4 linked regions of the Anolis sagrei genome follow. The protein of the gene in region 2 interacts with the protein of the main gene of each other region in a pairwise test. Links are inferred from orthologs where the notes say so. Each region holds a gene or a part of one and is shown on either strand. Other genes may lie near its edges. The genes, in order: tumor necrosis factor alpha-induced protein 8-like protein 1, DVL3, WT1 and CSNK1D.

Region 1 (8,017 bases), on a different chromosome or scaffold from region 2:
AAATAAATAAATAGGCTTGAAATATTATTATTATTATTATTATTATTATTATTATTCACTGTACCACTTATTCTTTATTATAATTTTCTTTATTTTTACCTTGCTTACTTGATTCTGCCTTTACAAGAAATGATATAATAATAATAATAATAATAATAATAATAATAATAATATCAGAGACTACCTGATGATGACAAAGATTATGATGATGATGATGATGATGATAATAATAATAATAATAATAATAATAATATACTGTGGAAGTTAATATTAATAACAAGTACAATGAGTTACATACAAGCTTGGCAGTGGAAGAAGGGGAAAAGAAGGAAATCAGAGGAAGAAAAGAATAGAAGGGAAAAGAAGGGAAAGAGCAAGAATAAGAAGAACAGAAAGAGTGAGAAAGGAGGAAAGGAGAAAGGAAATGAAGAAGAAGAGATGGACAGAAGAAGAGAAGGAAGAAGAAAGAGCAAAGTCAAGGAGTGGAAATGAAGTAGGAAGAGATGAAGAGAAGGAGGAAAGAGGAAAAGAACAATGAAGAGGAAAGGGAGGAGGGGAAGAGAAACTAGAAATAGAAGGGAAAGAAGCGAAGTATAGAAAGATGAACGGAGAAAGGAAGAAAAGAATGAAGAAGGGAAAAGAAAGGAGGAAAAATAAAGGAAGAAGAGAAGGAGGAAAGAGGAAAAAATGATGAAGAGGGAAGGGAGGAGGGGAAAAGAAGAGGGAAAGAAGCAAACTACAGACAGATGAACGGAAAAAGGAGGAAAAGAATGAAGAACCAGAAAGGAGGAGGAAGCAAAAGGAAAGGAAGAAGGAAAGAGGAAGAGAATGATGAAGAAGAGGAAAGGGAGGAGAGGAAGAGAATCTCAAGAAGGAAGAAGGGAAAGAAGCAAAGCTCAGAAAGAAGGAGTGAAAAGGAAGAAATGAATGAAGAAGGGGGAAAGAAAGGAGGAGAAGCAAGAAGAAAGGAAGAACAAAAGGAAGAAGAAGGGAAGGAGGAAAGAGAAGAAGAGAATGATGAAGAAGCAAGAAGGGAAAGAAACAAAGTACAGAAAGGTGAACGGGAAAAGGAAGAGAAGAAAGGAGGAAAGAGAAGAAGAGTGATGAAGAGGAAAGGGAGGAGGGGAAGAGAATCAAGAAGGAAGAAGGGAAAGAAGCAAAGTACAGAAAGATGAAAAGGGAAGAAAAGAATGAAGAAGGGGAAAGAAAGGAAGAAGAAGGGAAGGAGGAAAGAGAGGAAGAGAATGATGATGAAGAAGGAAGAAAGGACAGAAGCAAAGTACAGAAAGATGAACGGGAAAAGGAAGAAAAGAATGGAGAAGGGGGAAAGAAAGGAGGAGGAAGAAAAGAGGAAGGGAAGGGAAGAGAATAAGGGAGGAAAGAAAAGAAGAGTGATGAAGAGGAAAGGGAGGAGGGGACGAGAATCAAGAAGGAAGGAGGGAAAGAAGCAAAGTACAGAAAGATGAAAAAGGGGGAAGGAGGAAAGAGAGGGAGAGAATGATGAAGAAGGGAAAGAAGCAAAGTACAGAAAGATGAACGGGGAAAGGAAGAAAAGAATGGAGAAGGGGAAGGAAAGGAGGAATAAGAAAAGAAGAAGGGAGGAAAGAGAAGAAGAGAGCAATGAAGAGGAAAGGGAGGAGGGGAAGAGAATCAGGAAGGAAGAAGGGAAAGAAGCAAAGTACAGAAAGATGAAATGGGAAGAAAAGAATGAAGAAGGGGAAAGAAAAGAAGAAGAAGGGAAGGAGGAAAGAGAGGAAGAGAATGATAAAGAAGGAAGAAAGGAAAGAAGTAAAGCACAGAAAGATGAACGGGGGGAAAGAAAAGAATGGAGAAGGGGGAAAGAAAGGAGGAAGAAGAAAAGAAGAGGGGAAGGAAAGAGAAGAAGAGTGATGAAGAGGAAAGGGAGGAGGGGAAGAGAATCAAGAAGGAAGAAGGGAAAGAAGCAAAGTACAGAAAGATGAAAAGGGGGAAGGAAGGAGGGAAGGAGGAAAGAGAGGAAGAGAATGATAAAGAAGGAAGAAAGGAAAGAAGCAAAGTACAGGAAGATGAACGGGAAAAGGAAGAAAAGAATGGAGAAGGGGGAAAGAAAGGAGGAGGAAGAAAAGAAGAAGGGAAGGGAAGAGAAGAAGGGAGGAAAGAGGAGAAGAGTGATGAAGAGGAAAGGTAGGAGGGGAAGAGAATCAAGGAAGAAGGGAAGAAGCAAAGTACAGAAAGATGAAAGGGGTGAAAGAAAGGAAGGAGGGAAGGAGGAAAGAGAGGAAGAGAATGATGAAGAAGGAAGAAAGGAAAGAAGCAAAGTACAGAAAGATGAACGGGAAAAGGAAGAAAAGAATGGAGAAGGGGGAAAGAAAAAAGGAAGAAGAAAAAGAGAAGGGAAGAGAAGAAGGGAGGAAAGAGAAGAAGAGTGATGAAGAGGAAAGGGAGGAGGGGAAGAGAATCAAGAAGGAAGAAGGGAAAGAAGCAAAGTACAGAAAGATGAAAGGAGGGAAAAGGAAGGAAAGAATGCAGAATGGGAAAAGAAAGGAGGAAGCAGAGGGGAAGAGGCTATTGTTTTCTGCTCCGATAGCAAATAACAGCATTATATTATTTTCTCCTTTCTTTGGAAGGTCCTCCCATTTCTCGTCTTCCGACTAAAACAAGGGCAGAAAATTCAGTGCAGAAAAGCATGAGCTCGGCACATTTTTCCCCGCTGAGATCAAGTCCGTGCAATCCTTTTCTGCCCTCTGGATCCCTTTTTCCTTCCTTTTCTTACCTGCATGTTCTGCATCCAAAGATCGGGGCCTTGCAGTATATATATTCAACCCCTAAATCTTTTTTTTTTCTTGCAAATACAAAATTCGGAGCCTTTTCCTTGCAAAATGAAAAATTGTATAGCTTTAAAGCAATGGCTTTGTATCCCTTCTTTTCTTCCTTGGGGGGCGTGGGGGCTTTGCTATCGGAATCCCTCCTGGGATCCAAGGTTGAAACTTGACGCTTTTAAGACTCTGAAAGAGAGAGAGATAAAGTTTCAAATTCAAAGAGAAAGGGGAGGGGGGATGGAATGACAGCCGAGGGGGCCAATCGCGGAGCAGGGCCTCCTACGAAGCGGCCAATGGAAATGCAGCAACAAAAGGGGGCGGGGTTTGGGGATGGAATCGGAGAGGCAAAGGAAAACAAGGCAAAGTCAGTAACCATAAGAGACCCAGGTTCGAATCCAGGCTCAAGCCTTCGTCAAGTCACATACTCTCAGCTTCAGATAAATAAATAAATAAATAAATGAGAAAATAAATGATAATAAATGAATAAAATAAGAAAAAATAAGAAAATAGGAAAATAAAATAAGAAAAATAAAATAAATAAATGCTAAATAAATACACAACTTTATTTGTAGCCCGTGTTTGTATTTGGACTTTGAGTTGGGAGGAAAGAAGGGTCACACTCTCTCAGCCTCCAACCGTGATGCAAAACCCTCTGCAATGCATAGAGATACATCCACAACAAAAATAGATCACACCTGGAATATTGTGTCCAATTCTGGGCACCACAATTGAAGAGAGATATTAACAAGCTGGAATGTGTCCAGAGGAGGGCGACTAAAATGATCAAGAAGCCCTATGAGGAGCGGCTTAAGGAGCTGGGCATGTTTAGCCTGAAGAAGAGAAGCCTGAGAGGAGATATGATAGCCATGTGAGAGGAAGTCGTAGGGAGGAGGGAGCAAGCTTGTTTTCTGCTTCCCTGGAGACTAGGACGCGGAACAATGGCTTCAGACTACAAGAAAGGAGATTCCATCTGAACATGAGGAAGAACTTCCTGACTGTGAGAGCCGTTCAGCAGTGGAACTCTCTGCCCCAGAGTGTGGTGGAGGCTCCTTCTTTGGAAGCTTTTAAACAGGGGCTGGATGGCCATCTGTCTGGGGTGATTTGAATGCAATATTCCTGCTTCTTGGCAGAATGGGGTTGGACTGGATGGCCCATGAGGTCTCTTCCAACTCTTTGATTCTATGATTCTATGAAAAGGTGGATGTCCATCTGTCGGGAAGGATTGGATTGCTCTTTTTCCTGCCTGCAGGGAGTGGGTTGGACTGGATGACCTTTGGGGACCCTTTCTAATTTTAATAATAATAATAATAATAATAATAATAATAATAATAATAATCTTTATTTCTACCCCACCACCATCTCCCCGGTGGGGACTCAGAGCGGCTTACATGGGGCCAAGCCCAGACAACATAATACAGCATAAAATCAAAACATATACAACAGGCAACAACAACATTATCAAAATGACATCAAAATAATAATAAAACAATAATAAAAAAATAAAATAAAAATTCCAATAGACATTCTGTATTCTGTTTAGATAGATAGAGATACATGTTTATTTATGTTTGCTTTAGTAATTGCTTATTATGTTTTGTATTTGATTGCTGCTGATTTTATACTGCATTTCACTGTTTTTTCCCCTTTTTAATTAATTATTTGACACAATCTCATATATAATCAGAAAATATACGTTCAGAAATAATGAAACATGTCTAGATCTGTATGTAGATGGCAACTTGTACAAAGTAAGTATAACATATTTTACCATTCACTCGAGTTTAAGGCACTTTTAAAGGAAAATCCATGCAAACTATTCGTAACTAGAACTGTTTCCCTCTAGCTAACAGCAATATCATATGCAAATATCATATGCAATATCATATGCAAAAAATAAAATAAAAATGCCAATGGGTTTTTTTGTGTTTTTTTTGGAAATTCCTTACAAGGCAATATATCTTCATTATCATTTCACTGTTGAAAGCCGCTTTGAGTCTCTTTGTGAGGGAAAAGGGCAGGATATAAATAAAGTTTATTATTATTATTATTATTATTATTATTATTATATACATATATATAATGTTATATATAATAATATATCATTATATATAAATATAAATATGATATAAATACTATTTATTTATATTTATTGGCATTCTAATATTTATTAGGGGGGAAAGCCATTCTTTGATTTCGTTGTTTATGAATGTTCCCATTAGAAAATACATAAGAATGTGAGTGAACTACCATTCCCAGAATTGTGGGTCAATCCTTCCCAAACCAAGCTTGTATGCACAGCTGGCCATGTTGGGTCTGTGTGCCAAGTTTGGCCCAGATCTAGCGTCAGCTGAGTTCAGTGCTCTCTGGATGCAGGTGAACTACAACTCCCAAAATCAAGGTCAGTTTGTTCAGTTGGTCACATGGGTTCTCTATGCCAAGTGTGGTCCCAGTACATTGTCGGTGGGGGTCACTGTTTCTCTGAATGCTGGTGAACTTTAACTCCCAAAATCAAGGTGAATTCTCACAAACCCCTTCAATACGTTCAGTTCATCATGGGTCTTCTCTGTGCCAGGTTTGGTCCTGGTCTATTGTCGGTGGGGGTCACAGTATCTCTGGATTCCAAGGGCAATCATCCCCAAAGTCCGCCTGAATTCACAGTTGAGCATGTTGGGTCTGTGTGCCAAGTTTGGTCCAGATCTGTTGAAACACAACAAGATTAGTACACAGTAAATAAGATCATTGTATTGGATCACACATCGGACACTTCCCAAATGTCTAGGACTGTGTGATGTATCGGCGAATAATGCATGCAGATCCCAGTAGGGTGGCCCTTTTCAGCTGACAGATGGTGATTTTGTCAGCGCTGATTGTGCTTAAGTGCAGGCCAAGGTCTTTAGGCACTGCATTATTATTATTATTATTATTATTATTATTATTATTATTACTACTACTACTACACTATTGTTCCTGGGTTATCAATTTCCTAATTGGCTGTACACTAAAAAAAATGCGGAAAGCTGATTAAAGTGGCAAAACTTTGTTATTGCGGGAAACAGGAAATAACAAGTTCAAGCCAGGAACAGATTTTTCTTGGATCGATATAGGGCAGGTTTGACCTCTCCCTGTGACACTTTTTGTGGGCCGCTTCCTGCGCCTCTAGCTTCTGTTTCCTTTCTTTTGTAAGCTTGGCATGGATGAAGAGGAAACATTAGTCATCCATAGCCTTCCCCGGCCTCCAAACAGAAGCTGGATGGCCCTCTGCCGGGAAGGATCGGATTGTGTCTTCCTTCTCTGGCTGAAGGGGGTTGGATTGGATGGCCTTTCAGGATTCCCGTTCTAATCTAGAATTCTGTGGAAGTCTATAAACAAGAAGTTGGATGAGCACCTGTCAGGAGGGATGGGATTGTGTCTTCCTTTGTCTTGCAGAAGGGGTTGGATTGGATGGCTTTTAGGAGTCCCGTTCTAATCTAGGATTCACTGTAAGTCTATAAACAAGAACTTGGATGAGCATCTGTCAGAAGGGATCGGATTGTGTCTGGCAGAAGGGGTTAGACTGGATGGCCTTTAGGAGTCCCTTTATCAGCTGAGCGACGTTGGAGATGGAGCTTAAGAGAAGATGAAGCGGCGCTTGAGGAGAAAAGGCGGGAAACAGCGGCGTGCAAACTAAAAGGTGCAACGCTCCAAGCCTATTGGAGGGCTGTTTGGAAAAAAAGAGTGGCATCCTTATAGACTAGTAATGGATGCTGAAAGGGTTGGCCTTGATCAGGATGAGATGGTGAACAGGAGAGAAAAAAATGAATCCAGGAGACCCTGGATTGCCATACCTACTTCTGATACAGAATCCTAGAGCTGATAAAATGAAATGCAAAGATACAGAATGGGGGAAGCCTGGCTCGAGAGCAGTACGTGTGAAAAAGATCTTGGGAGTCCTCGTGGACAAGTTAAACATGAGCCAACAATGTCCTGTAGTGGCAAAAAAGCCAATGGGATTTTGGCCTGCATCAGTAGGAGCATAGTGTCTAGATCTAGGGAAGTCATGCTACCTCTCTATTCTGCCTTGGTTAGACCACACCTGGAATACTATGTCCAATTCTGGGCACCACAACTGAAGGGAGATATTGACAAGCTGGAATGTGTCCAGAGGAGGGTGACTAAAATGATCAAGGGTCTGGAGAACAAGCCCTATGAGGAGCGGCTTAAAGAGCTGGGCATGTTTAGCCTGAAGAAGAGAAGGCTGAGAGAAGATATGATAGCCATGTATGAATGTAAGAGGAAGTCATAGGGAGGAGGGAGCAAGCTTGTTTTCTGCTGCCCTGGAGACTAGGATGCGGAACAATGGCTTCAAACTACAAGAAAGGAGATTCCATCTGAACATTAGGAAGAACTTCCTGACTGTGAGAGCCGTTCAGCAGTTGAACTCTCTGCCCCGGAGTGTGGTGGAGGCTCCTTCTTTGGAAGCTTTTAAACAGAGGCTGGATGGCCATCTGTCAGGGGTGCTTTGAATGCAATATTCCTGCTTCTTGGCAGGGGGTTGGACTGGATGGCCCATTAGGTTTCTTCCAACTCTATGATTCTAGGAGACCCCCAAGGGCCACCCAGTCCAAACTCCCTGCCATGCATGATGCAGGAAATCACAAAGCACTCCCAATAACCTCTGTGGAAAAGCCTCCAGAGAAGGAGACTCCACCACACTCCCAGGCAGTCTAGGCCACTCTCCAACAGCTCTTACTCTCAGGAAGTTCTTCCTAATCTTTTCAGTCAAATCTCTTTCCTTGCCATTTGAACCCATTGCTTCTTTGTGCCCCGGTCTTGAGCATCAGAAAGTGAGTTTTCCCCCTCCACCTCAATGGGACTCTGTTTGAAATCCTAAAACATGGTTCTCATGTTCCCTCTCTACTGTCTTCTCCCAGCTAAACATCCCCCAGTAAGAAGGAAAAAGAGAAGGAAGGGTGGAATAGAATGGAGGGGGAGAAGGCATGACAAAAGGAAAGGGAGGAAGGAGAATGGGAAGGGAGGATGAAAGGGAGGGAAGGAAGAGAATGGAGGGAGAGGGGAAAGGAAAGGAAGGATGGAAGAAAGGGAGGGAGGGAGGACAAGGAAGGATAAATAATGTTATCGTTGGGGGTCACCACAACATGAGGAACTGGATTAAGGGGTCGTGGCACTAGGAAGGCTGAGAAACACTGCTATAGAGGATGGAGCAGCCCCTTGGGCCCTCC
Region 2 (6,919 bases):
TTGGGCTTGGCCTCATGTTAGCCGCCCCGAAGTCCCTTCGGGGAGATGATGGTGGGATATAAATAAAGTTTCTTATTATTATTTATTTCCTCCTGCAGTCAATGGAGGTCAGGCATGGGCAATGTTTATGCCAGGCATGGGCAAACTTGGGCCCTCCAGATGTTTTGGACTTCAACTCCCACATTTCCTAGCAGGCACAGGCCCTTTCATTCCCCCCCCCCCTCAGGGGTCTGAGACTGCTAGGAATTGTGGGAGTTGAAGTCCAAAATACCTGGAGGGCCCAAGTTTGCCCATGCCTGGTTTAGGCCTTTATTTATTTATGACATTTATATGTCGCCCTTCTCACCCCGAAGGGGACACAGAGTGGCTTACAAGATATATATACATACAATATATTATTAGCATAGTTGAATATCAGTATTATATACTGTACTATACCATTATATTGTAATATTACATGTCATATGAAATATATAATTATAATATCATTATTAGTAGTAGAACTAGCCATCCCCTGCTACACGTTGCTGTGGCCCAGTCTGTGTATATGTGTTTTGTGTGTGTATATATGTGTTTATGTGTGTGTGTGTGTATTTGTGTGTTCATATATATAAGTATATTCATATATATATATATGTGTGTGTGTGTGTGTGTGTATATGTCTGTATATATTTATATGTGTTTATGTGTATATTTATGTGTTCATATATATATATGTATATTCATATATATATGTGTGTGTGTATATGTGTCTGTATATATTTGTGTATTTGTGTGTTTATATGTGTACATGCACATTGTGTATATGTGTGTGCTTGTCTATAAGCATAATTGTGTGTATGCGTATGTATATGTATGTGTGTATATGTGTATATTTGTGTGTGTTTGTGCATATATATACGTGTGTGTATATGAATGTGTGCATATGTGTATGTATATGAGTGTATGTGTATATGTATATATTGAGTATTTTGGGGGGTTTTAAGTCTGTTCTGCTGGGATTTTGTGTGTGAGTGTGTGTGTGTGTATTTTTAGGGGTGATGGACACTCGTTGGACTGTTAGATGTATTGTATCCAAATTTCGTGTCAATTCGTCCAGTGGTTTTTGAATTATGTTAATTATATGTATCTACAATATATTATATTATATGTATATACAATATATTATATTACATTGGTTTATATGCATATACAATATATGATATTACATTATATGATATGTGTAAACAATATATTATATTACATTATATTATTTTTATATTATATTATATGTACATACAATATATTATATTATATGTATATACAATTTATTATATTACATTATATGTGTATACAATACATGTATATGTATATTTTATTGTATATGTGTATACAATAAAAATAATATTACATATTATATTATATGTATATACAATATAATACATTACATTATATTATTTTATATTATATTATATGTAGATACAATATATTATAATACATTATATTACTTTATATTATATTATATGTATATACCATTTATTATATTACATTATATTACTTTATATTATATTATATGTATATACAATTTATTATATTTATTTTATTATTATATTTTTTGTTACATTATATTCTTTTTATATTATATTATGTACATACAATATATTATATTATATGTATATACAATATATTATACTACATTATATTATTTTATGTTATATTATATGTATATACAATGTATTATATTACATTATATTATTTTATATTATATTATATGTATATACAATTTATTAAATCACATGATATTATTTTTATATTATATTACATGTATATACAATATATATTATATTATATTATGTGTATACAATATATTACATTACATTACATTATTTTTATATTATATTATATGTATATTCAATATATATTACATTATATTACTTTATATTATATGTATATACAATTTATTATATCACATTATATTATTTTTATATTATATTATATGTATATACAACATATATTATATTCTATTATGTGTATACAATATATTATATTACATTATATTCTTTTTATATTATATTATATGTATATTCAATATATGATATTACATTATATTACTTTATATTATATGTATATACAATTTATTATATCACATTATATTATTTTTATATTATATTATACGTATATACAACATATATTATATTCTATTATGTGTATACAATATATTATATTACATTATATTCTTTTTATATTATATATATGTATATACAATATATTATATTACATTATATTATATGTATATACCATTTATATCACATTATATTATATTATGTGTATACAATATATTATATTATATTCTTTTTATATCATATTATATGTATATACAATTTATTACATCAATAATATTATTATATTCTTTTTATATTACATTATGTACATAAAATATATTATATTACATTCTATTATATGTGTATACAATTTATCATATTACATTATATTCTTTTTATATTATATTACATATATATATAATATATAGTATTACATTCTACTATTTCTTTGGCGTAGGTCCATTGTCCTCTTGAGGGAGGACATCTCCGTCTACACTGCCATATAACCCAGATTATCTCCTTGCGGGAGACAGACAGACACAACACAAAAGCCAATGGACAGGAGGAGGAAGCGGGCCTGCCTGGGCGCCTCACCCGAAGTCGTCGTCCATGGACTTGAAGTAGAACTTGTAGCTGGGCCGGTTGAGGAGGGCCTTGAAGTCTCCCAGCGTGACCCGCTCGGCCGGGATGGCCACCTTCACCAGGTACGGCGTCTCCTGCTCGTCCAGGTGGTAGATGATCTTCGTCTCCGCCATCGCTGACGAGGAGGAGGAGGCTCCTACTGCTGCTGCGGCTGGAGGCGCCGCCATGGCTGCTCTCTCCCTCGGGGGGCTCGCTCACGCCAGCCCGGGGCTCCGGCAGCGCCTGCAGGCCCAAAAAGCAGCAGCAGCACAAGCAGCAGCACAAGCAACACAAGCCCCGCCCCCACCTCGCGCGGCTCCGCCCCTTCCGCTTCCGGCCTCCTCAGAGTGGGTGTTGCTCCAAGGAAGGCGCTTTCCACAACACTCCGAGGCAGAGAGTTCCACTGCTGAACAGCTCTCCCAGTCAAGTTCTTCCTCATGTTCAAGTGGAAGATCCTTTCGTATCCTTTGAGCCCAGGCTTCTCCCTCATCCAGGCTCGGCTTCAAAGCCTCCAAAGGAGGCTCTACCACACTCCATGGCAGAGAGTTCCACTGCTGAACAGCTCTCCCAGTCAGGAAGTTCTTCCTCATGTTCAGGTGGAAGATCCCATCGTATCCTTTGAGCCCAGGCTTCTCCCTCATCCAGGCTCTGCTTCAAAGCCTCCAAAGGAGGCTCCACCACACTCCATGGCAGAGAGTTCCACTGCTGAACAGCTCTCCCAGTCAAGTTCTTCCTCATGTTCAAGTGGAAGATCCTTTCGTACCCTTTGAGCCCAGGCTTCTCCCTCATCCAGGCTCTGCTTCAAAGCCTCCAAAGGAGGCTCCACCACACTCCAGTGCAGAGAGTTCCACTGCTGAACAGCTCTCCCAGTCAGGAAGTTCTTCCTCATGTTCAGGTGGAAGATCCTTTCGTATCCTTTGAGCCCAGGCTTCTCCCTCATCCAGGCTCTGCTTCAAAGCCTCCAAAGGAGGCTCCACCACACTCCATGGCAGAGAGTTCCACTGCTGAACAGCTCTCCCAGTCAGGAACTTCTACCTAATGTTCAGGGGGAAGATCATTTCGTATCCTTCTCCCTCATCCTTATGACAACCTCGACAGATGGCCATCCAGCCTCTATTTCAAAGCCTCCAAAGAAGGAGCCTCCACCACACTCCAGGGCAGAGAGTTCCACTGCTGAACAGCTCTCCCAGGCAGGAAGTTCTTCCTCATGTTCAGGGGGAAGATCCTTTCGTATCCTTTGGGCCCAGGCTTCTCCCTCTCCCTTATGACAACCTCTGCTTGAAAGGCTCCAAAGAAGGAGCCTCCGCCACACTCCAGGGCAGAGAGTTCCACTGCTGAACACCTCTCCCAGTCAGGAAGTTCTTCCTCATATTTAGGTGGAATCTCCTTTCCTGTAGAATCCTAGAGTTGGAAGAGACCTCATGGGCCATCCAGTCCAACCCCATTCTGCCAGGAAGCAGGAATATTGCATTCAAATCACCCCTGACAGATGGCCATCCAGCCTCTGTTTAAAAGCTTCCAAAGAAGAAGCCCCCACCACACTCCAGAACAGAGAGTTCCACTGTTGAACAGCTCTCACAGTCAGGAAGTTCTTCCTCATGTTCAGTGTAGAATCCTAGAGTTGGAAGAGACCTCATGGGCCATCCAGTCCAACCCCATTTTGCCAAGAAGCAGGAATATTACATTCAAATCACCCCTGACAGATGGCCACCCAGCCTCTGCTTGAAAGCCTCCAAAGAAGAAGCCCCCACCACATTCCAGAACAGAGAGTTCCACTGCTGAACGGCTCTCCCAGTCAGGAAGTTCTTCCTCATGTTCAGATGGAATCTCCTCTCTTGTAGTTTGAAGCCATTGTTCCGCGTCCTAGTCTCCAAGGAAGCAGAAAACAAGCTTGCTCCCTCCTCCCTGTGGCTTCCTCTCACATATTTATACATGGCTATCATGTCTCCTCTCAGCCTTCTCTTCTTCAGGCTAAAGATGCCCAGCTCCTTAAGCCGCTCCTCATAGGGCTTGTTCTCCAGACCCTTGATCATTTTAGTTGCCCTCCTCAGGACACATTCCAGCTTGTCAATATCTCCCTTCAATTGTGGTGCCCAGAATTGGACACAATATTCCAGGTGTGGTCTAACCAAAGCGGAATAGAGCATGGGGAGCATGACTTCCCTAGATCTAGACACTATGCTCCTCTTGATGCAGGCCAAAATCCCATTGGCTTTTTTTGCCGCCACATCACATTGTTGGCTCATGTTTAACTTGTTGTCCACGAGGACTCCAAGATCTTTTTCACACGTACTGCTCTCGAGCCAGGCCTCGTCCCCCATTCTGTATCTTTGCATTTCGTTTTTCCTGCCTAAGTGGAGTCTCTTGCATTTGTCCCTGTTGAACTTCATTACGTTAGTTTTGGCCCATCTCTCTAATCTGTCAAGATCGTTTTGAATCCTGCTTCTGTCCTCTGGACTATTGGCTATCCCTCCCAATTTGGTGTTGTCTGCAAACTTGATGATCATGCCTTCTAGCCCTTCATCCAAGTCATTAATAAAGATGTTGAACAGGACCGGGCCCAGGACAATACAACAACAATAGGTTGTTGTAGATTTTTTTCAGGCTATAGAGCCATGTTCTAGAGGCATTCTCTCCTGACGTTTCGCCTGCATCTATGGCAAGCATCCTCAGAGGCAGTAAGGTCTGTTGGAACTAGGAAAATGGGTTTGTATATCTGTGGGACAAAGAACTCTTGTCTGTTGGAGCTAGGTGTGAATGTTTCAACTGGCCACCTTGATTAGCATTTGATGGCCTGGCAGTTGTTTGGTGTGGCTTGTTAGTGCCTGGAGCAATCTTTTGTTGAGAGGTGATTAGCTGTCCCTGATTGTTTCCTCTCTGTTGTTTTGCTGTTGTAATTTTAGAGGCTTTTTTTTAATACTGGTAGCCAGATTTTGTTCATTTTCATGGTCTCCTCCTTTCTGTTGAAATTGTCCACATGCTTGTGGATTTCAATAGCTTCTCTGTGTAGTCTGACATGGTGGTTGTGAGAGTGGTCCAGCATTTCTGTGTTCTCAAATATTATGCTGTGTCCAGGTTGGTTCATCAGGTGCTCTGCTATGGCTGACTTCTCTGGTTGAAGTAGTCTGCAGTGCCTTTCATGTTCCTTGAGTCGTGTCTGGGCAATGCTGCTGCGTTTGGTGGTCCCTATGTAACTTGTCCACAGCTCCATGGTATACACCAAGCAGTAACAAGCCACGCCGAACAACTGCCAGGCCATCAAATGCTAATCAAGGTGGTCAGTTGAAACGTTCACACCTAGCTCCAACAGACAAGAGTCCTTTGTCCCACCCTGGTCATTCCACAGAGATATAAACCCAATTTTCCTAGTTCCAACAGATGATGAAGAAGAACTTTATTTTTCTACCCCGCCTCCATCTCCCCAAGGGGACTCAGGCGGCTCACATGGGGCCAAGCCCAGGCAACATACAATTAAAAGCAAAGCAACAACAAGTTACAAATTAAAATGACACAAAACAGCATAACAGTAATAAACAAGCATCAAGCAACAGCAACCCAAATTTTGGAGGGGGAAGGAGGCCAACATACAAATTGATTAAAAAGTAAATCTATATATATATAAATGCTCTGTGCATAATGAGTAGCTTAAAAACAAAAGAACCAATGAACGAAATCACACCAAATTTGGCAACAAAACATCTCACTACACAAGGAGTGACCATCACTCAAAACATTATGATTTTTCACTTGGGAGTTGTAGTTGCTGGGATTTATAATTCACCTGCTATCAAAGAGCATTCTGAATTCCACCAATGATAGAAACGAACCAAACTTGGCACACAGAACTCCCATGACCAACAGAAAATACTGGAAAGGTTTGGTGGGCATTGACCTTGAGTTTGGGAGTTGTAGTTCACCTACATCCAGAGAGCACTTTGGACTCAAACAATGATGGGCCTGGACCAAATTTGGCACAAATACTCACTATGCCCAAATGTCAACACTGGTGTTGTTTGGGGAAAATAGACCTTGACGTTTGGGAGTTGTAGTTACTGGGATTTATAGTTCACCTACAATCAAAGAGCATTCTGAACTCTATCAATGATGGAATTAAACCAAACTTGGCACACAGAACTCCCATGACCAACAGAAAATACTGGAAAGGTTTGGTGGGCATAGACCTTGAGTTTGCGAGTTGTAGTTCACCTACATCCAGA
Region 3 (7,000 bases), on a different chromosome or scaffold from region 2:
GCTCCAGAATTCTTCTGCTAAGGATCTTGTAAAAATGTGCTGTCGAAGGCTTTCATGGCTGGAATCACTGGTTTCTGTAAGTTTTCCGGGCTGTATGTCCATGTTCTAGAAGCATTCTCTCCTGACATTTCGCCTGCACCTGTGGCAGACATCCTCAGATCTTGTGAGGTTTGTTGAAAACTAGGCTGGATTTTCCACGGATATATAAACTCCACTTGCCTAGTTTTCAACAGACCTCTCAACCTCTAATGATGTCTGCCATAGATGCAGGCGAAACGTCAGGAGAGAATGCTTCTGGAACATAGTCATACAGCCCTGGAAAATTCACAGCAATCCTGATCGTGTAAAACTACAACTCCCAGGATTCCATAGCATCCAGGCATGGCAGTTAAAGTGGTGTCCAAATGCATTCATACAACAGTGGAAATGCACCCAGGGTCTGTTTGCCACAACGGTTTACTCTGAGGAAAGTTTCATAACTATGATTTTTTTAAAAGGGATGGATGTGGCCCAGATGTTTGTTTTTTTTTTTGTTTTTTTTTTGCTAGATCGGGAAATCTGGAGCAGAAAAATACACATGTCAGAAGAAAATTAAATAATTTTTATCGCGTCGGAAGGGACTTGGGAAACTAGAAGTCGCTTCTGGTGTGAAATAATTAGCCCTCTGCAGGGACGTTGACCAGGGAACGCCCGGATGTTTTACCATCTTGTGGGAAGCTTCTCTCATGTCCCTGCATGAGAAGCTGGAACTGACAGACAGGAACTCACCCCGCTCCCCGGATTCGAACAGCCGACCCCGACCTTTAGTTCAGCAGTTCTGCTGGCACAAAGGTTTACCCTCTATGTGGGTGAGAAACAAATAAGCAGGAGCTGGCATAAATACATCTCAATGAGCTCTAGATAGGAGGTAATCTCATTTACTGGACACTTTCCTTCCTTCCTTCCTTCCTTCCTTCCTTCCTCCCTCTTTTTAAAATTTCTTCCTTCAGATAACTCAAGTACAGCCAACCTAAAATGAATGTTGGTTCAGGCACGTTTAAATAATTGAATTCAACCCCTTTCCCCATTGTCCGGCATTTGAGCCTCTCCTTTCCATCGAGGAATTTGCAGTAAACTGTTGTCTACATTTGAACCACCCCACCTAAAGGCTCTCTCTGCCCACTATTTCCCAGTTTCTTGTATTTACTACTCATCACACTAGAGAGTGAATCCACTTTAAATCGGTTTCTGTTCCTGCAAAATTCTGGGTTTTGTTGTTTAGTGAGGCTGTTAAAGGCCTCCCTAAACTACAAACCCAGAATTCTGCTAGAGGCAGAAACCAGATTTAAAGCAGATTCATTCTCTAGTGCGATGAGGCCATAGAAGCGTTCTTGCAACCTTGGGCTCATCACGTTAGAACTGAGGCAGTTTGGCTTCATTTGAACTGCCATGGGGCTCAATGCTATGGGGCCACGGGGAGTTGAAAAGTTAATGGCCATGTTCTAGAAGCATTCTCTCCTGACATTTCGCCTGCATCTGTGGCAAGCATCCTCAGAGGTTGTGAGGTTCTTGGGCTATAACAGCCCGAAAAACCTACAACAACCCAGTGATTCTGGCCATGAAAGCCTTCGACAATACATTGAACTGCGTTAACTCTACAATGTAGATGCATTCCCTAGAGCGGGGCTTACAATGTTTAGAGCCTTTGAGTTCTTATCCTCCAAAAAAGTATTTGACTTTCTCAAATAACGTCTTCTATGGTTTAAAATTCCGAATGGTAGGCAATATCACACATGTAAAACCACGAATTCAATACTTTTGCACTCAGACGTTGCAGAGACTTCCTTGGCAAGATTTGTTCAGAAGGGCCGAGAGAGTGTGACTTGCCCAAGGCCACTCGGTGGGTTTCCAAAGTTGAAGACGTTAACCCAGACCTCCCAGAGTCCTCATTCAGATCCGCGCCAAATCTCAGCCCGCCCTTTTTTTTCTTGTTAGGAGCGACTTGAGAAACTGCAAGTCGCTTCTGGTGTGTGAGAATTGGCCGTCTGCAAGGACATTGCCCAGGGGACGCCCGGATGTTTTACCATCCTTGTGGGAAGCTTCTCTCATGTCCCCGCATGGGGAGCTGGAGCTGACAGAGGGAGCTCATCCGTGCTCTCCACAGATTCGAACCTCTGACCTGTCAGTCTTCAGTCCTGTCAGCACAAGAGTTGAACCCATTGCTCCGGAAGTGGCTTGAATCCCGATTGTTATTTTCCATCCCCTGAAAGTTATAGTTGTTTGGTGAAGAACACTAAGGAAAATCCCTCCAATTCAACGCTGTTCAAAGCATTCTACGAGGCTCTTGTTGCCACGGGTGGACGGAATGGGGAAAAGGCTCCCTGGCATTCGTAAAAAGGGACTTTCCCCACTGCGGGCTCTGGGCGAAATTAATTGAAGCTCAATCCTTTGAGCAACATATGAGTCCCACCAGCTCCTAAAATACTTATTCCGCAGTTTATAGAGATGGGATCCACATTGGCAGAACAGTGAAGCGCTTCACTGAAAGCGGGGTCTTCTTATTTTTTACTTTGAAAGGATGGGATTTGGGAAGAGGCCCCAGTGCCTACCCCTCTGAGGTAGAAGGTAAAAAGAACGGAGTCTTAATGTATGCAGCTCAGGTTGGACGCGGACAATCCAATTTGATGAAGCAATCTTGATCAGTACGACTGTCCGGATTTCCACCTGTGGTTGGACATGCAAAGTAGCCTTGGGTGCCTTCCCAAGAGGCATTTCCCCCGTCTACAAGATTTAACTCACCCTCCACCGAGGAAACCCCATTCCCACACTCCTGTCCTCCCTTTCCTACACTAAACCTTCGGAGTCCATGGCCCCGTCTACAAAGCCAGATCAATACCAGATTATCGGCGTGTACTGGAATATATGGCAGTATGACTAATACCATCCAGTGCAAAGCGGATGATCTGGATTTTCTCTGGCAGTGTACTAGGGTTGAATGAAAAGTAATGCCTCCAACCTTCGTAACTCCTCAACAGATGGCAGTACTGGAATGCGTCAGGTACTGGCTCGTTCAGTAGACTCTCCCCTACAGTTCCATTTTGGCGGGAAGCCTTAGCATTGAACGGTTGTGTTGTTAAAGTGCAAAGTATGGAACCTGCGCCAAGGTCTGTCAATACGACTTAAGTAGTCATTGAATTATTGACAGCACAAGGTGTCACCCCAAAGAAGATTAATCAGAGAATGCAAGCTGTTTATGGTGATTGTGTTGATGTGAGTACTGTGCGTCATTAGGCGAGTAAGTTTAAAGATGTTGAGGTGACACTTTCTGCTGTCAAGACTGCACGTTGCTTAAGTCACATTTACCGACCATAACAATCAACACTAAGGCTTCCTGCCAAAATGGAACTGTATAGGAGAGTCTACTGAACAAGCCAGTACCTGCCGCATACAAGTACTGCCATCTGTTGAGGAGTTACGAAGGCGGAGGCATTACTTTTCATTCATTCAGCCCTCTTAGATGGGTTATTTATCCTCCCCCTCAGCAGCCTCCGAAGCCTGAGATCAGACATCATCAAACTGCGGCCCTCCACCTCTTTGGGCCTCCAACTCCCAAAAACCCTAACGAGTTTGTTCAGTGGTCAGGAATTCTGGGAGCTGAAGGCCCAAACAGCTGGAGGGCCGCAGTTTGAGGATGCCTGCCTGAGACTGTCTCTTCTCAGCAGGCGAGGCAGTGGCAGCCTTAGCCTAGGCTTCGTTTGGGAATCCCACCCCAATTCCGAAGGGGAATTCCGAGCGGGAGAGACGTGTGTGTGTGTGGGGGGGGGGGGGGGGAATCGGTGGATTTGGAGAGTGCTGCGTCCCGTGTTGAACACCCTCGGCTTCCTGAGTCCCCGGGAGAGAAAGTGGCGCGGGGAGAGCGTGGTGTCCCGTGGCCGGGTTGCGGCCCTTGAGCTGGAGGGGAGGCCGTGTCACCGCCCACGCGCGTAGGAGGGGGGAGGGGGGAAGAGAGCGTGCCTGGGCCTGGCTCCTCCCCCGCCTCACTTGGCGGAGTTTTGGGGACTCGGAGGGCAAAGCCGGCGCGGCGAGGAGAAGCCACTCTCCTGCTGCCTCCCGAGCACGGAGCTTCCCTGCCTCCCTCCCTGCCTGCCTTGCTTGCTTCCTTCCTTCCTTCGGGGCCCAAAGGGCGACCCTGGAGGCCAACCTCGCCCTGGCGCTGGCAGGGCTGGACCCGGGGGCTGGGCTGCCCGTCCCGAAGGGGCTCCCGAGCAGCGCCGCCACCTCCTCCTCCTCTTCCTCAACTTGGTGCCTCCCTCCGGAGCCCCTCAGCGCCTGGGGCAAGCCTTCCTCCTCTTCCTCCTCCTGCGGCGGAGAGTGGTTCCCTGCGCGGCGCAAAGCGGGCTCGGCGGAGGCCATGGGTTCCGACGTGCGCGACCTCAACGCGCTTTTGCCTCCTCCCCCGGGCAACGGGGGCTGCCCCATGCCGGCGCAGTGGGGCCCCGTGCTGGACTTCCCCTCGGGCGCCGCTTACGGCTCGCTGGCCGGCCCCCCTCCGCCGCCCCATCCTCCGCCGCCCCCCTCAGCCTTCATCAAGCAGGAGCCCAGCTGGAGCGCCTCGGACCCCCACGAGGAGCAGTGCCTCAGCGCCTTCACCGTCCACTTCTCGGGACAGTTCACGGGCACAGCCGGCGCCTGTCGCTATGGGGCTTACGGGGCGCCCCCGCCCCCTCCGCCGCCGCCGCCGCCCCCGCCCTCCAGCCAGGCGCCCCCCGCCCAGGCGCGCCTCTTCCCCCAGGGCCCCTACCTGCCCAGCTGCCTCGAGGGACAACAGGCCCTCCGCAACCAAGGTAAGTGGGGCTAAAATCCTATCTGATCTTGGAAGCTCAGCAGGGCCGACCTTGGTTGGTAGTTGGATGGGTAGCCACTGAGTTGTGAACAAGATAGGTTCAGTAGCAGGCATGAGCAAGCTGGTGCCTTCCAGGAGTTTTGGACTTCAACTCCCACCATTCCTCACAGCCTCAGGCCCTTTCCTTTTCGCTTATGCGGCTGAGGGGGAAAGGGCCTGAGGCTTTTAGGAATGGTGGGAGTTGAAGTCCAAAATACCAGGAGCGCCCAAGTTTGCCCATGCCTGTTCTATAAGCTTGTTCTTAACTTGGATTTGTATATAAGTCGGAACAGGAACAGTTTTTAAGCGTAACTCCAGCCAAATATATATGTTTTGCTCTCTGTGCCTCTGTTCACCAGAGTTCACTGCACTTTCTGTCCCTATGACAACTGGGTTTTTTGGAGGGGGAAATGGCTTGTTGACTGCTCCGTGCAGTTATGCTGGCCACATGACCTTGGAGGTGTCTACGGACAATGCCTCTCTTCACTTCACTTTCTGTCCCTGTGACAATTGGGTTTTGCAAAAAATGGCTTGTTGTGGAAACAAGGATTGGTGAGAAAGCTTCAGCAGGGAATTTCCCTTCCTCTACCACTTCATCACACCAGAGAAAAAAATCAATTTATAATCCGGTTCCTGCCTCCTGCAGAATTCTGGGGTTTGTAGTTTAGGGAGGCTGTTAAAGGCCCCTCCCTAAACTACAAACTCCAGAATTCTACAGGAGGCAGAAACCGGATTTTAAGTGGATTTCTTCTCTAGATTTCTCATCACACTCGAGAAAAAAAAATCAGTCGCCTTCTCAACTCTGAGTAGTTTGTAAGTCGGGTGTTTGTAACTGTAGGCTGTATTTCAGGGAAATCCTCGGGGTCGCCATAAATGGGCAGGCAACTGGTAGGCACACACGCCCGGCAGGATCCATGAAGCCAATGGGTTGCGTCAGCTTTGGCATAATAAGTGGTCTTATTATCCATTCACTCCAACTGGGAGGAGGGATGGGATTTTGCCCAGATCCTCTCTGATTTTGGAAGCTAAGCAGGGGCGGCCCTGGTTAATACTTAGAGGGGAGATCGCCAATTAAAACCAGGCGAGAATAATAATAAAACTTTATTTATACCCTGCCCCATCTCCCAACAAGGGACTCGGAGCGGAGAAGGCACTAACAAATCCATCTGTGACATGTCTTTTGAAATTCATGGAATCACCATCCTCCCAAATCTGCTAAAGACTATCAGTAGTAGAAAAGGAGAGGTGGAGAGGCGACTTAAAGGTGCATCCTCAAACGCAGATTATTATTATTATTATCATCATCATTATTTATCTCCCCCAAGGGGACTCAAAGCGGCTTAACAGCGGATGAGCTCCCTCTGTCAGCTCCAGCTCCCCATGTGGGGACACGGGAGAAGCCTCCCACAAAGATGGTAAAACATCAAAACATCTGGGCATCCCCTGGGTAGTCCTTGCAGACAGCCATTTCTCTCATACCAGAAGTCATTTGCAGTTTCTCAAGTAGCTCCTGACCCCGGGGGGGGGGGGGGGGATTAAACAGAAGCGGAAGAATGGTTTCAAACTACAGGAAAGGAGAGTCCCCTGAATATGAGGAAGAACCCCGGGAGTGTCGTGGAGGCTCCTTCTTTGGAGGCTTTGAAACAGAGGCTGGATGGCCATCTGTCGGGGTGTTTTGAATGCGATTTTCCTGCTTCTTGCCAAGGGGTTGGACTGGATGGCCCATGAGGTCTCTTCCAATTCTAGGATTCTATGTTTCTAGTTTGAACCCAGAGGTTACATTTCGGTCTTCATTTAATTGGGAGGAGCGAGTGGATTCAGCCCCCAGTGTTTATGGGTACCCCCCATGCCCCACCAATTAAAAATAAATTTAAAAATACTAGTTGTGTAGCTTCGAGGGACAGGCACAAGTGAGAAGGTTTCCACCCCTCAATGAGGATCCTCCAGTACCACATTTCTAGCATCATAGAAACACCAGGGCGGGTTGGGGTGAGCTCCCGCCTGTCAGCTCCAGCTTCCCATACGGGACATGAAAGAAGCCTCCCACAGAATGGTAAAGCATCCGGTTGTGCTCTGAGCAACTTATTTGCAGACGGCCAATTTTCTCACGCTAGAAGCGTCTTGCAGTTTCTCAAAGTC
Region 4 (8,018 bases), on a different chromosome or scaffold from region 2:
CACAACGAATACTGAGAAGTGGTTTTGCAAGTTTTTTACTCTGAAATCTAGCCTAAAGCACCTGTCTATCTGGTTGGTTTAGCATCTATTCACACCTCTCAGCTGATCACAGTGAAAACTGGAATCAGCTTCAAACCAGAATTCATTCTAGGACTGTTGGATAATCAAATAAAAAAGGAATGTTAGAAAATAGTGCAGTACACGTTAACAGTAACAAATCCTACATCATCAACAATGGAAAAAGAAAGAAACAGATTGGACAGTGAAAATTTGGGAATAGAAATTGATAAGTTAACCATTTTGTTGAAGGGGAAATCACTGGACACATTCTTAGAAAAATGTTTCTATTAATATGTATCTGAGGGAATGTTTTGTATTAATATATATGAGGGAAATTGAAAGACAGTTTTTGAGATAGTCAGCAACCTGCTGGATATAAGGTAGAAGAAGAAAAAGTTAAATTATAGGGAAACTGGTAAAGGGGAAGCAGGAAATCCTTTTAAAAAACTAATTCATGTATATTCTTTTGAAGATTCCATTGATTGTAAAACACACACCCACAGTTCTAACACACCTGTTTTTAGAGATATTTATATATGGGAAAGTGAACCTTAGAATAGAAGAAAAAAGATTTGTTGGTGCTTTAATTACATGTAATTAGAGTAGATGTATGTCAGTGTGAAAATTGTGTAGCTGGTATTTAATTGTTCTTTACGTTTTAAAATATATATAAACATTGTTACTTTTATTTGTGTTTCTTCGGTTAAATTTTGCATTTTAGAAAAATGGGGGAAAAGGAGAAATTTACCTAAGATCTTGCTAGCTCTCATGTTGGTCTTTGGAAAGACCTCTTAGTCTGAATCTTCACAAACCATATAATGCAGCTTGAAGCTAGCTCAAGGTCATGGTGTCCACAAAGCATACATCCCCAGTATGCATTAAGCCAGAAACAGTGTATTCAAATGCAGTATACATTAAGCCAGAAACAGTGTGTTCAAAAACACCAGAAAGTTCAAAACAAGCCAAAAATCCACTGCAGCCAATCAGAGTATATTCCATGCAGACCTCCAATCTGGGACTGGAAAATGAAGAATGCTTGCTAGGACACCTGGTGATGACGTGCTTTAAAAATGCAGAAATAGCTGGAAGGTAAATAAGAAAAGACATCATTCCCATGGGAAAATTCACTTCCCACACCTCTGTTCCGATTTCCTGTTTCCTGCCTCTGTCTAGCAGTGATCCCGAAAGGACATGGTGATGCATCTCAGTGAACTGGGTAAGAAAGAAAACATTCTTGGGTTCAATTGCAAACTGCAAAAAGCGGATGCTGTGGCCACCTCATTGAACCATTCCTGGGGTGTTTGTGTAAGCAAGAATGCACAGTGAAAGAGGTCCATTTAAATCCACCTCCAAACAGGATGATGATGATGATGATTAACAACTTTCTTTGTACACAGCCACCATCTCTCAGAGGGAATCTAGGTGGCTCACAAAGCACTCAAAGGTGCAACCACACAAAATACAGAAAGTGTAAACAACCATAAGTGAACAACCAACATAAACATCATAACTTCACAATACCCCCTGGTTAAAACCAAAATACAGTGATAGCTGCAGGTAAAAACAACTGTAGTCAGTTTCAGTCTTGTAAAGTGCTTGATAAAAAAATCTATAGGTCATATATATAGATTATAGTGTCTCTATAGTGTTAGAAGAAGCCTTAATTTTAGGGCTACAAAAGTAATAGGGTATATTTACTTTTATTATATGTTTTGTTATGGATTGCTGAGAGTATGGATATTTTATTTTGTTCTACTTAATTTTCTTTAAGTTATATTTTTTCAGTTACAAAAAAATTAAAAAGACTGTCAGCCCTTGATGAGGGGAAATAGAGACGCCTAGTGTTCTACATGTGGGTTTTTCATTTCTAATTATTCTAAAAGAAATTCAACAATTAAGTTGAAGCTCATCTTTCTTTCATTCAAGCTGTGAACAACAGAATCCTAAGTTTGAAGGGACGGCAATGGCCACCTAGTCCAGCCATGTTTCATAGAGGGTTTACTGCAAATGTTCCCTTGAGAGATGGGCCTTAATCTTGTTTAATATAATGACGAAGTAGGTCATGTTAGAGTAAGGTACCTTGACTAGGTGCTGTTCCATTAGCCGGGTGTAGGCCGCCAGGGGGCGCTAGCTGAAGCAGTAAAACCATCCCCCCCCCCCCCCCCCCCCCCGTTTCCTGTTATGAAATGGGAAGGGGGAATAATCAACAAAAACTAAGGAAATGGCTTTCCTCTTTCAAACCCCCCACCCCCAACATGGACTATCCTCTCTCTCTCTAGCACACCCTGGTGGCTTTTGCCTGTGTCAGAAGCGACTTGAAAAAAATGCAAGTCGCTTTTGGTATGAGAGAACTGGCCATCTGCAAGGACGTTGCCCAGGGGACGCCCAGATGTTTAATATTATACCCTGCTTATAGGAGGCTTCTCTCATGTCCCTGCATGGAGCTCTGGAGCTGACAGAGGGAGCTGAAACTGTTACACTGAGTCCCCTGAGGGGTGAGAAGAGCGGGATGGAAATGAAGTAAAGAAATAAATGTTTCACAGAGCTCTGGACATTGCTGTTTCTTTAAGGTGCTGGGAGTTTCAATGCAGCACAGGCTTAGAGGCCTTCACCTCGCCAATGCACTGTATTGCTTAGGCCAGGCATGTAGCCGGGGGGGGGGGGGGGCTCGGGGGCTTCAGCCCTTCCCCCCGAAATTTTCATGGTGGTTCGCGAAAAGGCCTTATTGGTGCATTATTTAAACTGTTATGTTTATTCATATCATGATCTGATCACCATACTCAATATATCCCATATGCATGGGGGTATTGGGGTAATGATACAAAAGTTTGCTAGGCTAGACCCTCTTTCACTCAGACTCAGCCCCCCCCCGAAACTCAGCCCCCCCCCGAAACCCCCCCTGAAAAAAAATCAGCCCCTCCCCCCCCCCCCCCCCCCCCCGAAACGAAATCCTGGCTACGGGCCTGGCTTAGGCTATTTTTCTTCAGGGGAGGGATAGTCATCAGCTTGAAATGATTACATGCCTTGTTGTTGTTCATTCGTTCAGTCGTCTCCGACTCTTCGTGACCTCATGGACCAGCCCACGCCAGAGCTCCCTGTCGGCCGTTACCACCCCCAGCTCCCTCAAGGTCAGTCCAGTCACTTCAAGGATGCCATCCATCCATCTTGCCCTTGGTCGGCCCCTCTTCCTTTTGCCTTCCACTTTCCCCAGCATAATTGTCTTCTCTAGGCTTTCCTGTCTCCTCATGATGTGGCCAAAGTACTTCAACTTTGTCTCTAGTATCTTTCCCTCCAGTGAGCAGTCAGGCTTTATTTCCTGGAGGATGGACTGGTTGGATCTTCTCGCAGTCCAAGGCACTCTCAGCACTTTCCTCCAACACCACAGCTCAAAAGCATCGATCTTCCTTCGCTCAGCCTTCCCTAAGGTCCAGCTCTCACATCCGTAGGTGACTACAGGGAATACCATGGCTTCGACTAGGCGGATCTTTGTTGCCAGTCTGATGTCTCTACTCTTCACTATTTTATCGAGACTGGACATTGCTCTCCTCCCAAGAAGTAAGCGTCTTCTGATTTCCTGGCCACAGTCTGCATCTGCAGTAATCTTTGCACCTAGAAATACAAAGTCTGTCACAGCCTCCACGGTTTCTCCCTCTATTTTCCAGTTGTCAATCATTCTTGTTGCCATAATCTTGGTTTTTTTGACGTTTAGCTGCAACCCAGCTTTTGCACTTTCTTCTTTCACCTTGATTAGAAGGCTCCTCAGCTCCTCCTCGCTTTCGGCCATCAGGGTGGTGTCATCTGCATATCTGAGGTTGTTAATGTTTCTTCCAGCAATTTTCACCCCAGCTTTGCATTCATCCAGCCCCGCACATCGCATGATGTGTTCTGCATACAAGTTAAAAAGGTTGGGTGAGAGGATGCAGCCTTGCCGTACGCCTTTCCCAATCTTGAACCAGTCTGTTGTTCCGTGGTCAGTTCTGACTGTTGCTACTTGGTCCTTGTACAGATTCCTCAGGAGAGAGACAAGGTGACTTGGTATCCCCATACCACCAAGAACTTGCCACAATTTATTATGATCCACACAGTCAAAGGCTTTAGAATAGTCAATGAAGCAGAAGTAGATGTTTTTCTGAAACTCCCTGCCTTTCTCCATTATCCAGCGGATATTGGCAATGTGGTCTCTCGTTCCTCTGCCTTTTCTAAACCCAGCTTGAACATCTGGCAACTCTCGCTCCATGTATTGCTGGAGTCTTCCTTGCAGGATCTTGAGCATTACCTTACTGGCATGAGAAATAAGGGCCACTGTACGGAAGTTGGAGCAGTCCTTCGCATTTCCCTTTTTTGGTATGGGGATATAAGTTGATTTTTTCCAGTCTGATGGCCATTCTTGTGTTTTCCATATTTGCTGGCAAATGGCATGCATCACCTTGACAGCATCATCTTTTAAGATTTTAAACAGTTCAGCTGGGATCCCGTCGTCTCCTGCTGCCTTGTTGTTAGCAATGCTTCTTAAGGCCCATTCAACCTCACTCCTCAGGATGTCTGGTTCTAATTCATTCACCACACCATCATAACTATCCTCAATATTATTATCCTAGCTTTGATCTATCCACTGAAGAGATTGTGATACCTTCATAGTGAGGCATGTGCCTTAATTTTACAATGTCATTCGCCTCCTCTGCCCAATAGTGCTGGCGCCTCACCAAACGACAGCTCCCAAGATTCCCTAGAACTGAGCCATGGGGGTTAAAGCGGTGCCAAACTGCATTAATTCTTGAGTGTGGCGGGCGCCCTTTTCGGCGAGGGCTATAGCAGGGGCTCGCCGCGGCCTCGGCGGTTGCCTGGGCGACGGCCCTGGCTCCGGCTCCCGGCCTCACAATCTGCAAGCCCCGCCCCGTTCCCGCCCCTCGAGCCGCCTTCCCTCCCGGGGAGGCGCAGGCCCCGCCCTCAGTTGTCAAGGAAGTGAGGTCACACAACATGGCGGCGGCTCGGCCCCAGCTGCGTTGAGCGGGAGGGGGGATCCGGGTCTCGGGGAATCGGCCTCCATCCTCCCCAGCCGGGGCGCGCGGCCGCCCCCAGACCCCTCCGCCGCCGGGAGACGGGCCCCGGGCCGCCATGCTCGCCGTCCTGGCCTCGCTCTGAGCCGGGCTCCGTCCTCGCCGCTGGGTTGGGTCCACTCGAGCCGCGCCGATGGAGTTGAGAGTCGGGAACCGGTACCGGCTCGGCCGGAAGATCGGGAGCGGTTCTTTCGGGGATATTTACCTCGGTGAGGAAGAGGAGGAAGCGGGCGGTGGAGGGGAGGGCTGGCCGGGGTCCGGCGGGGCCTGCTCGGCCTCAAAGAACCGCCGCAACCCGGCAAGGGCTGCCTGTCGCCTCACCTCGGGCTTCTCAGGCCTTGTTTACGGAGGGTGCGCCTACATTGTCGAATAAATGCAGGTTGACAGCACTTCAGCTGCCATGTCTCAGTGCTGTGGAATCCTGGGAGCGGTAGTTTTCCAAGGCCTTACGCTTCCTCTGCTCAGTAGCCCTGGGGCCTCCTCAAACGGCCCCTCCCTGGATTCCGTAGCTGCTCCCCTTTGCAGTCAGTGGTGCCGGCCACCAGTCTTCCGTGTAGGCCTCACCCTTTCCCGAGACTTCCTCAGGGCAGAGCCCCTCGCCCTCCCCGCTTCCTCCTTCAAGAGAAACTTCCTTGGTGACCTTGGGCCGCCGGCCGCCCTCTTCTCAGCCGGCCTCCCTTGGCTGGAGCAGGAAAAATCAAGCCCGTCCTCCTTCCAAAGCATGGACTGGACCCAAGAGTTTTGACTTCAAAGCCTGGTCTTGGCCAGGACCGCAGGCCTTGACTATTGCTTCAACCGGGGCTGTAAAAGCCTCCAGGAAGTAGCTCGCTTTTACAAAAAAAATTGCCCAATGCTGTGTTTTGTGATTGCAAAATCGCTCATTTTGTGGCTTGGGGTGCTTTCTGCCTTTTTGGTTTTTAACCTGGACTTCCGGTAAATGGGATGGTGGGCCCTTCCACATCCATATAACTCAGAATATCAAGGCAGGTAATTCCATAATATCTGGGTTATCTGAGGGCCCTTCCACACAGCCTTATATCCCAGAATATCAAGGCAGAAAAACCCACATTATCAGAGTGTAGACTCAGATAACCCAGTTCAAAGCAGAATTGTGGGATTTTCTGCATTAATATTCTGAGATATAGGACTGTGTGGAAGGGCCTTGAGTCCACACAGCCATATATTCCAGTTCAAAGCAGAAAATGAGGGATTTATTTATTCAGCTGTGTGGAAGGAGCATTTTGTTCCTTTCTGAGGTGTAAAATTCTGGTTATTTGCAACCCAGTCCCCTAGTTTTGATGACAGCATAATTGTGAATCTAAGCCAGAGGCCTGCTGACTTACTTCTTTGGTGATGAATCTTTAATAAACCCCCAGGGATGTGGGTTTTCGCTTGCATTCTGCATATGGTAAGCTAGCCTAGGTGTCTCCTTTCAAAGTGGTAGGCTCTATGCAAAGGTAAGCCAGGAAAAAAAATCTGATGGTCTGTCAATTAGTTCAAGGTTCAGTCCCACGAAGGATTAGGCCTATGCATTGCAGTATACATTTGAGTAGCTTTAATGGGATTGCTGACTTTGCGTATTGTTGTACAAAGGGAACAGCCAATCCAAGTCTGAGCTCCTATGTTTAAAAATAAATGTGAATATCGAAAGCAGCAAATCCATATTGCCAAGGCTGCTATTTCTTTGTATACAAAAGGTTACTTCCTTACCTGATCTAGTGCTTCCTTGCCTGATCTAGTGCTTTTCTGACAGAATAACATTAAATATCTTATAGTGTTTTGTTCTTACCTATCTTTTAGGAAAGGGTGTGAAATGTCAACATTTCTGTTGAAATAAATGCTTTATGTCTTTGATCAGATCTTTATTCAGAAAACTTTGGAAGTGCAGTCTTCTGAAATCCTTCTTGGATGTTGTCTTTGCTTCCTCCTTGTAAATAATAAACTTTAAGGGATTTCTTTTGCTTGCATACTACACAAAATTATACATACAAGGGTGTGAACCCATCAGGACAAAAGATTATCATTTGGTTGCAGCTTCCCCTTTAATTAAAAGTGTTGTGCAGGTTGGAAAAACTTTGTTAAAAGTCAGAGAAGGCTTTTATTAATCTTGTCCCTAATAAAATGTTATATCTGCTTGTGGCAGCGACCCATTAGATTTTTTAAATTTTTGAGAAAGATGTGCAAGAAAGGGCATAGATACCTTTATGATTATGATTCACACTAAAAATGGATCTTAGGTTATGTATATTTCTTAACCATCACATCTATTACTCTTGCCTTTGTTTTATTTACCAGGCTTGAGTTTCTTTTCGCTCTGATACTTAGGAAGGTTCAAAGGATAGTGTAAAACAGGACAGTGAAGATATTTAAATTATTCACCACTGTTGTCCCACCTGATGGGGGAAGAGAAGGATGATGACACTTTCCCAAATTCTTAATCCTAGAACTTTGATTCCCTTGTAATACAGAGAAGACTTCAGAACCTTGACACACGAAATTGTCAGATCCTTTGGCATAGTCTTGTTTTGGTAGCTGCCCAGGGAAGAATATCCTTGTATACTAAAAACATTTCCAGTCAGATATTTTCTTAAACTTTCTGAGTGTTGTAACTTTCGCCATCCTTTCTTCCTCATGTCCGCATTTTAGAATTAAGTTGAATTTAGGAGATATTTCCATTTACTGAAATTAAGACATTAAGATCCCTTACTCATGTGGTGTCATTTCCTGCTTCTTTGAGAAGTTTGCATTATTATTAACAGTAAAAGGTATTACTCCTATTTATGAGGCAAGAATCACAGGTTATTAATTAGTTGATATTGTATATAGGGATTCATTTCAAATAAGAGTTTCTGTAGGTAGTTTGAAATAAGAAGATGGAATTCCTGCAATGCAAAACTTTTG

The links.
Region 1: the proteins of DVL3 (region 2) and tumor necrosis factor alpha-induced protein 8-like protein 1 interact in binary tests that used the Homo sapiens proteins (3 or more experiments, as listed by UniProt). The two-hybrid records come from large-scale screens. The link is inferred for Anolis sagrei from reciprocal best matches to the Homo sapiens genes DVL3 and TNFAIP8L1.
Region 3: the proteins of DVL3 (region 2) and WT1 interact in binary tests that used the Homo sapiens proteins (3 or more experiments, as listed by UniProt). The link is inferred for Anolis sagrei from reciprocal best matches to the Homo sapiens genes DVL3 and WT1.
Region 4: the proteins of DVL3 (region 2) and CSNK1D interact in binary tests that used the Homo sapiens proteins (3 or more experiments, as listed by UniProt). The two-hybrid records come from large-scale screens. The link is inferred for Anolis sagrei from reciprocal best matches to the Homo sapiens genes DVL3 and CSNK1D.

Annotation. Positions count from the first base shown.
Region 1 is NC_090034.1:49,776,811-49,784,827, reverse strand, and holds the start of tumor necrosis factor alpha-induced protein 8-like protein 1, read right to left. Parts: upstream 3,019-8,017; 5' UTR 2,753-3,018; intron 1-2,752. UniProt on the Homo sapiens protein: Acts as a negative regulator of mTOR activity.
Region 2 is NC_090023.1:264,637,265-264,644,183, forward strand, and holds the start of DVL3 (segment polarity protein dishevelled homolog DVL-3), read right to left. Parts: upstream 3,002-6,919; 5' UTR 2,891-3,001; coding exon 2,676-2,890; intron 1-2,675. UniProt on the Homo sapiens protein: Involved in the signal transduction pathway mediated by multiple Wnt genes.
Region 3 is NC_090021.1:257,607,588-257,614,587, forward strand, and holds the start of WT1 (Wilms tumor protein), read left to right. Parts: upstream 1-3,994; 5' UTR 3,995-4,390; coding exon 4,391-4,823; intron 4,824-7,000. UniProt on the Homo sapiens protein: Transcription factor that plays an important role in cellular development and cell survival. Recognizes and binds to the DNA sequence 5'-GCG(T/G)GGGCG-3'. Regulates the expression of numerous target genes, including EPO.
Region 4 is NC_090022.1:114,330,505-114,338,522, reverse strand, and holds the start of CSNK1D (casein kinase I), read left to right. Parts: upstream 1-5,010; 5' UTR 5,011-5,250; coding exon 5,251-5,326; intron 5,327-8,018. UniProt on the Homo sapiens protein: Essential serine/threonine-protein kinase that regulates diverse cellular growth and survival processes including Wnt signaling, DNA repair and circadian rhythms. It can phosphorylate a large number of proteins.